2 linked regions of the Xenopus tropicalis genome follow. The protein of the gene in region 1 purifies or fractionates together with the protein of each later gene. This does not show direct contact. Links are inferred from orthologs where the notes say so. Each region holds a gene or a part of one and is shown in the gene's direction. Other genes may lie near its edges.

Region 1 (5,950 bases):
ACATTGGGGTTCTTTTGTATATATATCTCTACTTACAGATAAACTTCCACATGTATTAACTTGGAATCATGCATATTATCCTATTGAGGACATACTATAAAAAAAAAAAGGTAGTTTGTCTCTGATTTTTGCAATTGTATAATTTTAAACAAAGTTTTCCTTTTAATAGGTTGCAATGAAACATCCATCTGCAGTTACTGCATGTAACCTAGACCTTGAAAATTTGATCACAGATTCCAACCGCAGTATTGCCACGCTGGCCATCACAACACTGCTGAAAACCGGCAGCGAAAGCAGTGTTGATCGACTAATGAAACAAATCTCCACCTTTGTCTCTGAGATCTCAGATGAGTTTAAAGTAAGACTGTTCTGCACTCTGATCTTTTGACAATAAAAAAATATACATGTATAAAATGTTATTTTTTTTTCAAAAATAAACAAAAATATGCCCATTTCTTAAGTGGGACTTCCTTTTAAATTGACAAAATTTGCCTCCCCCAAGTAATATCTGAACTTTTTCCATAGAAAACAGCTGCAACATCCCCTTCTGTGAATAACCACTTGGAGTGCTGTAGGGAAGGCATTTTCCCAGCAGATCATATTTTTCCATATTTATGAAAAATGTAAAATATTTGCTAGAGGATGCTTGACAGTACACTCTGTTGATAACATTTTGCCATACGTACTGATTGCACTATATAATTGCAGGTGGTAGTTGTACAAGCAATCAGTGCCTTATGTCAGAAGTACCCACGCAAGCACAGCGTAATGATGACGTTCCTTTCCAACATGCTCAGGGATGACGTAAGTACACATGTGCACATGTTTTTTTAATGTTAATTTATTAATTGTAGTAAATCTTGTCTTCCTACCTCATGTTTTAATGTTTAACATGCCACTTTTGGTAGGGTAAGGCAAGATGCAGAATTGAATGAGTTTGGCATTTATTTTCTCAATTTGTGGCTGAGTTGGGATATAACTCTCAAGGGGTTTTATCTTTCTAATAATCAGTATTATTAGGGGCCCATGTAAGGTTAACCTTGAAGGACTGGTGTCCATTTTTACCTGAAGATAATGGGTAATGGCATATGGAGTGCTTTTAATCTGATAACTATCCATTTTCATCCATAGGGTTGGGCAGTTTGGCAAGGCATTTTTTGGGGTTGCTTAAAGTCGTAATGCTTATAGTACCCAAAGTATCCTCTGTTGGTGTTACCCTGATATGCCAAATAGATTGATATTATGTGTGTTATAATGATGCAGAATTGTAAATATGGATTATGTACATATGATTTTATATTTGTATATTTTCAAAATACTTTCATTTCATTGTTAATTACTGATATTAAAATTCTCTGTACTAAGGGTGGCATATATTGTATAAAATCCCCTATGTGACCAATCCAGTACCAATTTAACTTCATATAGATGGCCTAATAGACAGATAAATGCACAGATCAGAGCATATGTCAGTTGGCTAGGTCACTGGAGGCCTGGCAAACTGATGAATTGATAACTTATTGAATGCTATAGTTTGGCTGGGTTGAAAATTCTGGTCAGAAATCATATTTCAAGTAAACAAAAAGGATCTGATGGTATATGCAGTGTGTGATCAATTCAGACAGTTTGGACCTCTGACTAGTTTATAGACTAAAAATGGGTTTCTCTGCTGTGACCTTTTCTGCAATTTAACAGTACTTTTCTGACTCAAGAAAAGATTTCTGGATTTATACATTAATCAAAGTATATTGATGTGCCAATTTGTGTCTCGTATGAGCAGTCAAACACAGGAATTTTCAATGGGTGTTTGTACACAGCACTGGTCCATGTTGGAATAATTGTCTAAATTGTTGCTCTCCATCTGCGATTTGCACAAGGGTTTTATGATCTAGGCAATTGTTTCAAAGAGGAAAATAATTTATTAAATCTAAGGGGCTTTATTAACTACTATTAACTTTTTACAAGTGGTACCTACGAGCACTGCTTGTAAACTAGTTAACAATAGTTAACAAAACCCTTTGGTGTTCTTAGAAGTAGAATAGCCCACAATATATTATAAACATACTGTATATACACTGCTCAAAAAAATAAAGGGAACACTTAAACAACAAAATGTAACTCCAAGTCAGTCACACTTTTGTGAAATCAAACTGTCCACTTAGGTAGCAACACTGATTGACAATTAATTTCACATGCTGTTGTGCAAATGTAATAGACAACAGGTGGAAATTATAGGCAATTAGCAAGACATCCCCAATAAAGGAGTGGTTCTGCAGGTGGTGACCACAGACCACTTCTCAGTTCTTATGCTTTCTGGCTGATGTTTCAATGACTTTTGAATGCTGGTGGTGCTTTCACTCTAGTGGTAGCATGAGACAGAGTCTACAACCCACACTAATGGCTCAGGTAGTGCAGCTCATCCAGGATGGCACATCAATGCGAGCTGTGGCAAGAAGGCTTGCTGTGTCTGTCGGCATAGTGTCCAGAGCATGGAGGCGCTACCAGGAGACAGGCCAGTACATCAGGAGACGTGGAGGAGGCTATAGGAAGGCAACAACCCAGCAGCAGGACCGCTACCTCCACCTTTGTGCAAGGAGGAACAGGAGGAGCACTGCCAGAGCCCTGCAAAATGACCTCCAGAGGGCCACAAATGTGCATGTGTCTGCTCAAACGGTCAGAAACAGACTCCTTGAGGGTGGTATGAGGGCCCGACGTTCACAGGTAGGGGTTGTGCTTACAACCCAACACTGTGCAAGACGTTTGGCATTTGCCAGAGAACACCAAGATTGGCAAATTCGCCACTGGCGCCCTGTGCTCTTCACAGATGAAAGCAGGTTCACACTGAGCACATGTGACAGACGTGACAGAGTCTGGAGACACCGTGGAGAACATTTTGCTGCCTGCAACATCCTCCAGCATGACTGGTTTGGCAGTGGGTCAGTAATGGTGTAGGGTGGCATTTCTTTGTGGGGGCAGCATAGCCCTCCATGTGCTCGCCAGAGGTAGCCTGACTGCCATTAGGTAGTGAGGTGAGATCCTCAGACCCTTTGTGAGACCAATATGCTGGTGCGGTTGGCCCTGGGTTCCTCCTGATGCAAGACAGTGCTAGACCTCATGTGGCTGGAGTGTGTCAGCAGTTCCTGCAAGATGAAGGCATTGATGCTATGGACTGGCCCTACTGTTCCCCAGACCTGAATCCAATTGAGCACATCTGGGATATCATGTCTCCCTCCATCCACCAATGCCACGTTGCACCACAGACTGTCCAGGAGTTGGTGGATGCTTTAGACCAGGTCTGGGAGGGGATCCCTCAGGAGACCATCCGCCACCTCATCATGCCCAGGCGTTGTAGGAAGGTCATATAGGCACACGGAGGCCACACACACTACTGAGCCTCATTTTGACTTGTTTTAAGGACATTACATCAAAGTTGGATCAGCCTGTAGCGTTTTTTTCCACTTTAATTTTGAGAGTGACTCCAAATCCAGACCTCCATTGGTTGATAAATTTGATTTCCATTGATAATTTTGTTGTCAGCACATTCAACTAGATAAAGAACGAAGTATTTAATAAGAATATTTCATTCAGATCTAGGATGTCTTATTTTTCTGTTCCCTTTATTTTTTTTGAGCAGTGTATTTCGCTTCATAGTAAATGAGGCCATACACTGTTCAGCCCAGCCTGTTTACAAACATGCGCAACCAAGTATCTGACCAACATCCATAGCACATGGATATTTGTTGGGATTGTTGGGTTCTAATACATGCACGGGCATAAATAGACACATTACTACCTCTTGTCTATCCATAGGTGATTTGGGGTGTTAATTGTTAGTCATAGATTTACTTGGCAATTCTTGCCAGTAGAACTAGTTCTCTTTAAAAAAAAAATTAGTAAATGGCCATAAGATAATTAATTTTCTGTTTAAATAGTGTCTTGTTCCTAGCTCAAAATGCTCAAGTATGCTAAACTACACACACTCTCATATGCAGGGAGGTTTTGAATACAAGCGTGCCATTGTGGACTGCATTATTAGCATCATAGAAGAGAACCCAGACAGCAAAGAATCTGGCCTTGCTCACCTGTGTGAATTTATTGAGGACTGTGAGCACACAGTTCTGGCTACCAAGATTCTGCATCTTTTGGGAAGAGAAGGGCCAAAAACACCCACACCCTCCAAGTACATTCGTTTCATCTTTAACAGGGTGGTATTAGAGAATGAAGCCGTCAGAGCAGGTAAGAATACCACCATTATTTTTTCTTTCTTCCTTTTTTCTTTGCTTAAGTAATAACCTCAATTATTTATTAGTAAACATAACTTAATAGTAGCTATATTACACTTAAACTACGGCTATAGTAAACTTAAACTACTTATTAGGATGTTGCAGAGATATACCTCCAGAACTCCAGTGCAGTAGGGTTTGGGGTAATTTGAATCGTTAACATCTAGATTACTGAAGGCTGCTTTACATTTATTATTTGTAAACCGAGGCACTTATTTTTAATGTTAACCTTTAACTATTGAAGTTCCATTTTCCCAAACTTCTGAGCCACACTCAGATGTAAAAGGTGTTGGTGAGCCACACAAGCTTGAAAAAAGCTCTTTGGGGATTTTAAATAAGGACTGTGGTTATTTGGTAGCCCCATGTGGACTGCTGGTCTGCAAGAGGCTCTGCTTTGAGTAAAACAGAGAAGTGTCTCTGTGCTTCCAAAACTTGTCTTCAAGCCAGAAATGTAAAAATGGACACCTACTTTGAGGCCACTGGGAGCAACATGTTGCCCCCCAGTCACTAGTTGGGGATCACTGCCTTACAGCAATATGATGGTGTACGTAGCTTTGCTAATGATCTCTTGTTTTTATTTTTTTCCTTATAGCGGCGGTCAGTGCTTTGGCTAAATTTGGTGCCCAAAACGAACCTCTTCTACCAAGTGTTTTGGTACTTCTTCAAAGGTAGTGCATTTTGGGACATGGTATACGCTAGCATTTTGAATTGTTCATATTATAAGACAAATTGTACTGGGCCAGATTGAAGGTATATATAATAAGTAATTTCACCTAATGTACTTGGTGCACATAGAGCTATTGTGGTATGGGTTAGAAATGCATTTTTAACAGAAAATTCTAGTGTTACTGTGCCTGTAACTATAATAAAGCAAAATAAAATAATCATGATGTGATTGTTGCTCTTCCTGCTTTTCAAATTTCCATGGATCCCTCTAAGAATATGCCTAAACTTCGTATTCTGTAAAGATCATTTAAGCATGTGATCACTGATAGATTCCAAAATACAGTTAGCCAGCATCTTTGTTTAACATTTTGGAAAATATTGCTAAATATTAGCATTGTATTCTGCCTGCCTTCCAGGTGCATGATGGACAGTGATGATGAGGTGCGAGACAGAGCAACATTTTACTTCAATGTATTAAACCAAAACCAACTAGCACTTAATACTGCCTACATTTTCAATGGTTAGTAGCAAAGTAAATAAATCTGTCATTTGCATATTCGTATCTATCTTACATTTTTAATGATTTATTTTATTTATTTCCTGGTGGTTATATAAGGCTGACACATTTTTAATTTTATTTTATTACATCTGCTCTTTTTTAGGTCTGTCAAATGCATTATGGTAGTCTAGTTTCCTGTGTTCTGTGGTCATCAAAACTAACAGTCTTCATTAGTGGATTTAATTTAACTGTTAAACCATCATGGCAAACTATTCTGAAAATTAGAAAACGAATATTAGCTTTATCTGATGGACATAATTACTCTTCAGTATCACCTTTCCCTTTCTGTCCCATCTTTATGCCAGACAGGTTAAAGGGGACCTGTCACCCAGACATAAAAACTGTATAATAAAAGTCCTTTTCAAATTAAACATGAAACCTAAATTCATTTTTTATTAACATTCATACCCATAATAAAAGCATTTAAAAATCCCAGCTGCCA
Region 2 (6,569 bases), on another chromosome or scaffold:
TTGGTGCATCCCTAGCTACTACAGTTATATAGTTTACTTTTATGGATCAGTTCCTTCTTGGACCTTATGTAAAGACATTACCATATTTCATACATTTGCTACAACTGGATAAGCCAGGATACATACCCATTCCACCAACAATAATGCAATCCTTCAAGCCCAGTGGCTTCCCTAGGACCCGAAATTGTTCTGCAATCTGATATGCGAGTTCTCTGAGAATAAAATTTAAAAAAAAAATCTTATAAAGAGAAATATAAAAAATATTGCTGGTAAATGTTTCTCTTTTTTGGTCTCGTAAAGATCTCTATCTTTAACATATTTGTCTACAAGTGACCACAGTTTTAATCTGACGACAAATTAGTCTGTATTTTCTAAATATACTTGACATTTGTAATCCATTTCAAACATTTGCTAGAGGAAGATAAAGCTAAATTTAAAGACCGGCAACTTATGTTTAGATTATGCACGAATGACAACTGGCTATAGCTGTGCACTGGATGTTAAGAATTATTCACAAAGCAACAATATATACATACATACATGTGTAGATTTTTTTTTCTTAAGAATCTTTCTACAATGTTTTCCTCCCTCTTTGAAATCTATGCCTTTATGTCTCAGTATCCCTGTGTTAAAGACCTGTAAAACCTTACAAAGGTTAACAGGGGCTACATATCATTATTATTAGATATTACTTTGTCTACTAAAAAAAATCATGTAAAATATCTGAAGCTAAACTGTGAAGTCATCTGTTGTTCATTGTAGGGAAAGACCATAATTTTTGCTCTACCACAATATTACTTTTTTTCTCTTTAATGAGAAAATTATACAATAACTATTATAATAGCATCTGTACTCACCGAGTTGGTGTCAGAACCAGGCAAAATATTCCAAAGGGATCCTCAGAGAGTTTTTGGAGAATAGGCAGCACAAAGGCAGCTGTTTTTCCACTGCCAGTCTTTGCACATCCCATGCAGTCTCGGCCTAACAGGACATCAACTTCATGAGTTCTCAACAAAATACAATACATTTTCTGTGCAGATGTTAATGGATAGTTGACCTTTTACCAGGTGGCTTTTTTCCTCTGATACATAATCAGATACATTTAAATCTGCAAACAGCATACACACGCAGACCCTTATTCAGCATACATTTCATCAATAATACAGGCTCACAGAGGCAGAACTGTCTGATAAACGTTCTGCTTTGTTTGAGCTGAGCTCAGGAGAGAAAGTTAGGAGAAAAAATTGAAGCAGACAGCTAGAGCTGAGTTTCTATGGGAACCAGCAATGCCATCTCTTCACTGGCTGCTAGACTGGAGGGCGTATTTTGTAATCTGAGTTTAGTACAACTGAGCATGTCTGGCAAGGCAGGAATCAAAGCAAATTCCCAAGGGGGGGGGGGCGAGTGGGTTACAGGAGGAGAAGGAAATCTAAGTGATTAAGGGGATGTTGCAGCCTTACTATTAACCTCTGGACAAGCAGAGTGGCAGGTATTGAAAGATTTCAAAGAGGCTGTTCACTGATTAAATTTTTGTGTGTGGGGTTTACATGTCCTTTAGATGAATGCAATTATTATGAATCGAACTTAGGTACAAGCAAAACTGTGCACAATATATTTATAAATAGGAATGTAACTATGGAGGAAACTGACGCTTCAAGAGACTGCCGGGGGGCCAGAAGGTAAAAGGGGACCAGTGGGACAGTGACAAAAAAGAAGATTAATACATTTAAATTAAATCTTACTCCTAAATGTTAGGGTTCCCGCAAATTTAGCGCTGCTTTCCTTTAACATATAGTTATGCCATTTACCTTTTGATCACTGGTTTTTCAGATGATTTGTAACACTTATGTAGATGACTTGCTCACCCTGGACAACTCAGATAATCTGCCCCCTTAATCGCGAAGAATCATATTCGCATTCACTAATCTCACCTTCCAGGATGGGCGGGATGCAATTCTCCTGTACAGGACTAGGTTTCAATATGCCCAGTTGGCTACATTGATCGATAAGCCAGGAAGACAACCCAAGCCTCGAAAACCCTTCCATCTTGACACGCGTGATAGCCACTAGCAGCACATTCCGGCGCACAAACTAATGCGTCACACAACTCGCCCTTCTATTGGTCCTTACGGGAACTGACCTTTGGTACTACATCTCCCGCCATGCCTTTAGCTGAGAGGCGGAAGTCGGTAAAGGAAGGCGGAAGTTGTGGAAGCTGGCCGGCTGACGTGTCCGGGATATACAGAAATGGCTGCACAGGGAGAGGTGGACGAGTTATTTGATGTGAAGAATTCTTTCTATATTGGAAGTTACCAGCAGTGCATTAATGAGGCGCAAAGAGTAAAGGTGATTTAACGATTACAGCAAACTGGGTCAGAGAGGCGTGGAGTTATGGCTGAAGGGATATGGATAGTGGACATAGCAGCAATCTTTTTAAATTGGGCATACGTATTGAACAAATATAACGACAGCATGCATGACTGAATCAGGCACAATAACATCTATTATTTTTCTCATGCTAACAATCTGAGGTAAGATGGATAATCAAATAGTAACGTGGGAATATTTTATTTTACAGCCTTCAAGTCCAGAGAAGGAGGTGGAGAGAGACGTTTTCCTGTTCAGAGCATATATAGCCCAGGTGAGAGAGACTCTGTATTATAATCATACATTATTCTCACCCAGCTGTCATTAGTATTGTGAATGTAGCCTTTTTTCCTCCTGCACGTATACCTATAAGTAAAAGAAGCTTTTTATTTCCTCCTGCACTTATACCTATAAGTAAAAGAAGCTTTTTATTTCCTCCTGCACTTATACCTATAAGTAAAAGAAGCTTTTTATTTCCTCCTGCACTTATACCTATAAGTAAAAAAAGCTTTTTATTTCCTCCTGCACTTATACCTATAAGTAAAAAAAGCTTTCTGTTTCCTCCTGCACTTATACCTATAAGTAAAAGAAGCTTTTTATTTCCTCCTGCACTTATACCTATAAGTAAAAGAAGCTTTTTATTTCCTCCTGCACTTATACCTATAAGTAAAAGAAGCTTTTTATTTCCTCCTGCACTTATACCTATAAGTAAAAAAAGCTTTCTGTTTCCTCCTGCACTTATACCTATAAGTAAAAAAGGCTTTTTATTTCCTCCTGCACGTATACCTATAAGTAAAAGAAGCTTTTTATTTCCTCCTGCACTTATACCTATAAGTAAAAAAGGCTTTTTATTTCCTCCTGCACGTATACCTATAAGTAAAAGAAGCTTTTTATTTCCTCCTGCACTTATACCTATAAGTAAAATAAGCTTTTTATTTCCTCCTGCACTTATACCTATAAGTAAAATAAGCTTTTTATTTCCTCCTGCACTTATAACTAAGTAAAAGAAGCTTCTTATTTCTTCCTGGTCTTATGACCTTTTATTTTCCACATGCAGCGCAAGTATGGGGTTGTTCTTGATGAAATTCGGCCAAATACCAACCCTGAATTACAGGCTGTCCGAATGTTTGCAGAGTATCTGTCCAATGAGAGTCGCAGGTATGTGCATTCTACATCTCCAGGGGGCAGATTTATCAAAATTTGAGATTAGAGCTCACTACAGAAAAATTCACTTTTTATTCATTCCTATGGGATTTTTAGAAGCATATTTATCAATGGGCTAAAGTTAGAACTCACCTTTTGATAAATATGCTTCTAAAAATCCCATAGGAATGAAAAGAACATGGGTGAATTTTTATGTATAAATCTTTGAACTCCCATTTTGATAAATCTGGCCCTATGCCTCTCCGTTATATTGTCCCACTCTGTGGCTCTCACCAGAACAACTGGCATATGGCTACTACCAGAAACTCGCTTGACCCTATACAACTAAAACGGTTACCAGATGTGATCATTTGGGTTTCAAGAAATGAGGTCTAGAACCATTGCACTCCCTATAAATATATTAACTTTAGGGGGCACATTTACTAAGACATTTTAAGAAACAGTTGATTTTTGTTTTTTTTTTTTTTACTTCTGTTGAGATTTACGAATGGGTTTTTGCCAGTGCTCGATTTTTCTGATATTGTTTCTCGAAAAATTCTAGTTTTTCAGAAATTTTCCCTGATAAATTTGAGTTTGTCGAAAATAACTCCCATTTTATAAATACAACAATGATCAAGTTTAATTCGAGTTTAATTAGAATTTAAACCATGTCGAGTTTATACTACTTTCAAGTCCAGAAAAAAAAAAAATTTTATTAAATCATTCCCTAAAACTTTTAGGGGAGATCCAACCACAAATAGTAAACAGGTTGGCTTTTCAGAGTCTTCAGATTGGGGAGGGCATATACCAAACTTGTAGAGGGCAAGAACAAAAATCTATATCATAGGCCAGGCTCATATAAACTTAATTTACTAATTAGAAGAAACATTACATCAGCTTAGCTTGATGCATCAGGATAAGTTATGTGACTTTTCTTCTTAATGATTATTTTTTTGAGTGGAGGACACTTTTTTCAGTATGTGCCTTCTGCAAGTGTTGATACATCTGCTTTTAACTTTCATACACTACCGTAGGCTCCCCTAATGGGTTGTGCTGTATAACTGACTATTAGATTTATCAGTGTAGTAAGTAAATGAGAAATCTGGGTATTATATCTGACCAAGCTTAAAGGACAAGGAAAGGCAAAGTCACTTGGGGGTGCCAAAATGTTAGGCACCCCCAAGTGACTTAAATCGCCTACCTTTTACCCCGGGCTGGTGCCCCTGTTCGGGGAGAACAGCACCAGCCCGGGGTAGCTGCAGCGCTTCCTGCTTCGCGTGTTTGTGCATGAGCAGTCGAGTGAAAAAGCTGAACTTTAACAGAGAAGTTGAATTTTTAATCTACTGCGCATGCGCCGGTCGTGGGGTCCCGGCAAAAGGAAGGAGGAACCGCTCGCTACAGGTACCCCGGGCTGGTGCTGTTTTCTCCTAACAGGGGCACCAGCCCGGGGTACAAGGTAAGCAATTAAAGTCACTTGGGGGTGCCTAACATTTTGGCACCCCCAAGTGACTCAGCCTTTCCTTGTCCTTTAATCAGATTTTGATCTGGAAAGGCAATATTTTTGACCTAAACACGGGCCAGTTGGGCTGCTGACTTGCTCAGAAGTGGAATAGTTGGTAGCAAGTGTTTCTTTCTATAGGCACTTTAAGTGGTAACTTAATAATGAGATAAAAGCTAAAATTCCAAAATCGAGAGCTAAAGAATAAAATATTAAGTAATTCAGAAACAAAAATGAATAAATTAAAATCAGCTGCAGAGATATCTCGAAATATTGATGGATAGACTATATTATAAATTTAGGATAACAGACTGTTGAAGACTAATTAATGAACTAGTTTAGTTTTTATCATACATACTATAGGTTCACAGCTTTTCTAGAAAGGATAGGTCTGTAACAAATAGTTGATCTGTCACAATTCAAAGAAAAAATGTAGCCCTCCCTTAGTGAAATGATAAAAGATATCTAAAAGAGAAGGAAAGATTAAAACCACTGTGGAGTGTTTTGTTTTTTTTTTTTTTCCCCAGTCAACAAAGAATTTCTGTACTACACATACACTCACTCAGGGTAATAGGCAACTTGCCACTCCCCAGTAGTTTTACCTTTTTTCTCCTTTAAATGTAGGTATTTTAGATATACATTCTGAAGCAAATGTATATTCTTGATAATACTTGGATTATAGTGCTAAGTTATACCAGTCTAAAATGAATATTTTAAATTTCTCTCTAGTGAGCGCAAAAGAAACTCAGGTACAACTACTCCCCATGTTCAGTCATGTAGAGTGGCCACATGCACTGTTGTAAATTCTAAACGTCTTAATAGAATAAGTAGTCCTTTTATTTTAAAGTCCCTTAACATATCTAGCATGGGCATTAAGTTCTGCCTTCTTGCTTTCTGCCTCCAATGGAAATCAATTAGGCATGTATATTAGACAGTTCCTTGACTGGATTCCTTATCAAAGGAGTAGGAAGACTTAGTATATACTAAAAAGTGCAAAGCTTTACACTGGCTTGATTTCTGCAGCATGTTCAACATCTTGTCTTAGGAAGGATCTGACTTAATGTAGAGAGCTATGTTCAAAATAAATACATTTGTATTAAACTTGTCAAAATCTTTCCCTTGAATTATCTTTTTTTTTAATTTCTAGAGATGCCATAGTTTCAGATCTTGACAAAAAGATGGCAAAAAGTGTTGATATAACTAATTCAACATTCCTGCTGATGGCCGCTTCAATTTACTTCCATGATGGCAACACAGATGCAGCCTTGCGAGCCCTACACCAAGGAGACAGCCTGGAATGGTATGTCAATTTATTTTTCCTTCACTTACACATTTAAAATTACTTTACTTGTATTTCTACCATTTTACTTTGGCCTATCTGCCTTGTGATGCTGAAGTTGTTTGCCTAAAAGATTTTAAATGCATTTCATATATATGTCAGATTTTGTGCAGAGAGTATGGATAAGCCAAGGATTAAATATAACTCACAGATAAACACGCTGCATCACGCCGATTCTTCTGAAAAATGGTTATTGTGCGAACAAACCAGGCAACATTTTGG

The links. The genes of interacting proteins can lie anywhere in the genome.
Region 2: the proteins of copg2 (region 1) and cope purify together in Homo sapiens (affinity purification with mass spectrometry; 5 studies listed by BioGRID and IntAct, with this or other methods). This does not show direct contact. The link is inferred for Xenopus tropicalis from reciprocal best matches to the Homo sapiens genes COPG2 and COPE.

What each region holds. Positions count from the first base shown.
Region 1 is NC_030679.2:86,708,162-86,714,111, forward strand, and holds part of copg2 (coatomer subunit gamma-2), read left to right. Parts: intron 1-169; coding exon 170-358; intron 359-708; coding exon 709-804; intron 805-3,992; coding exon 3,993-4,236; intron 4,237-4,875; coding exon 4,876-4,951; intron 4,952-5,365; coding exon 5,366-5,469; intron 5,470-5,950. UniProt on the Homo sapiens protein: The coatomer is a cytosolic protein complex that binds to dilysine motifs and reversibly associates with Golgi non-clathrin-coated vesicles, which further mediate biosynthetic protein transport from the ER, via the Golgi up to the trans Golgi network.
Region 2 is NC_030677.2:112,613,547-112,620,115, reverse strand, and holds the start of cope (coatomer subunit epsilon), read left to right. Parts: upstream 1-2,205; 5' UTR 2,206-2,247; coding exon 2,248-2,346; intron 2,347-2,578; coding exon 2,579-2,641; intron 2,642-3,424; coding exon 3,425-3,525; intron 3,526-6,155; coding exon 6,156-6,308; intron 6,309-6,569. Other genes in the region: probable ATP-dependent RNA helicase DDX49, read right to left, coding at 127-212, 858-981, 1,932-2,046. UniProt on the Homo sapiens protein: The coatomer is a cytosolic protein complex that binds to dilysine motifs and reversibly associates with Golgi non-clathrin-coated vesicles, which further mediate biosynthetic protein transport from the ER, via the Golgi up to the trans Golgi network.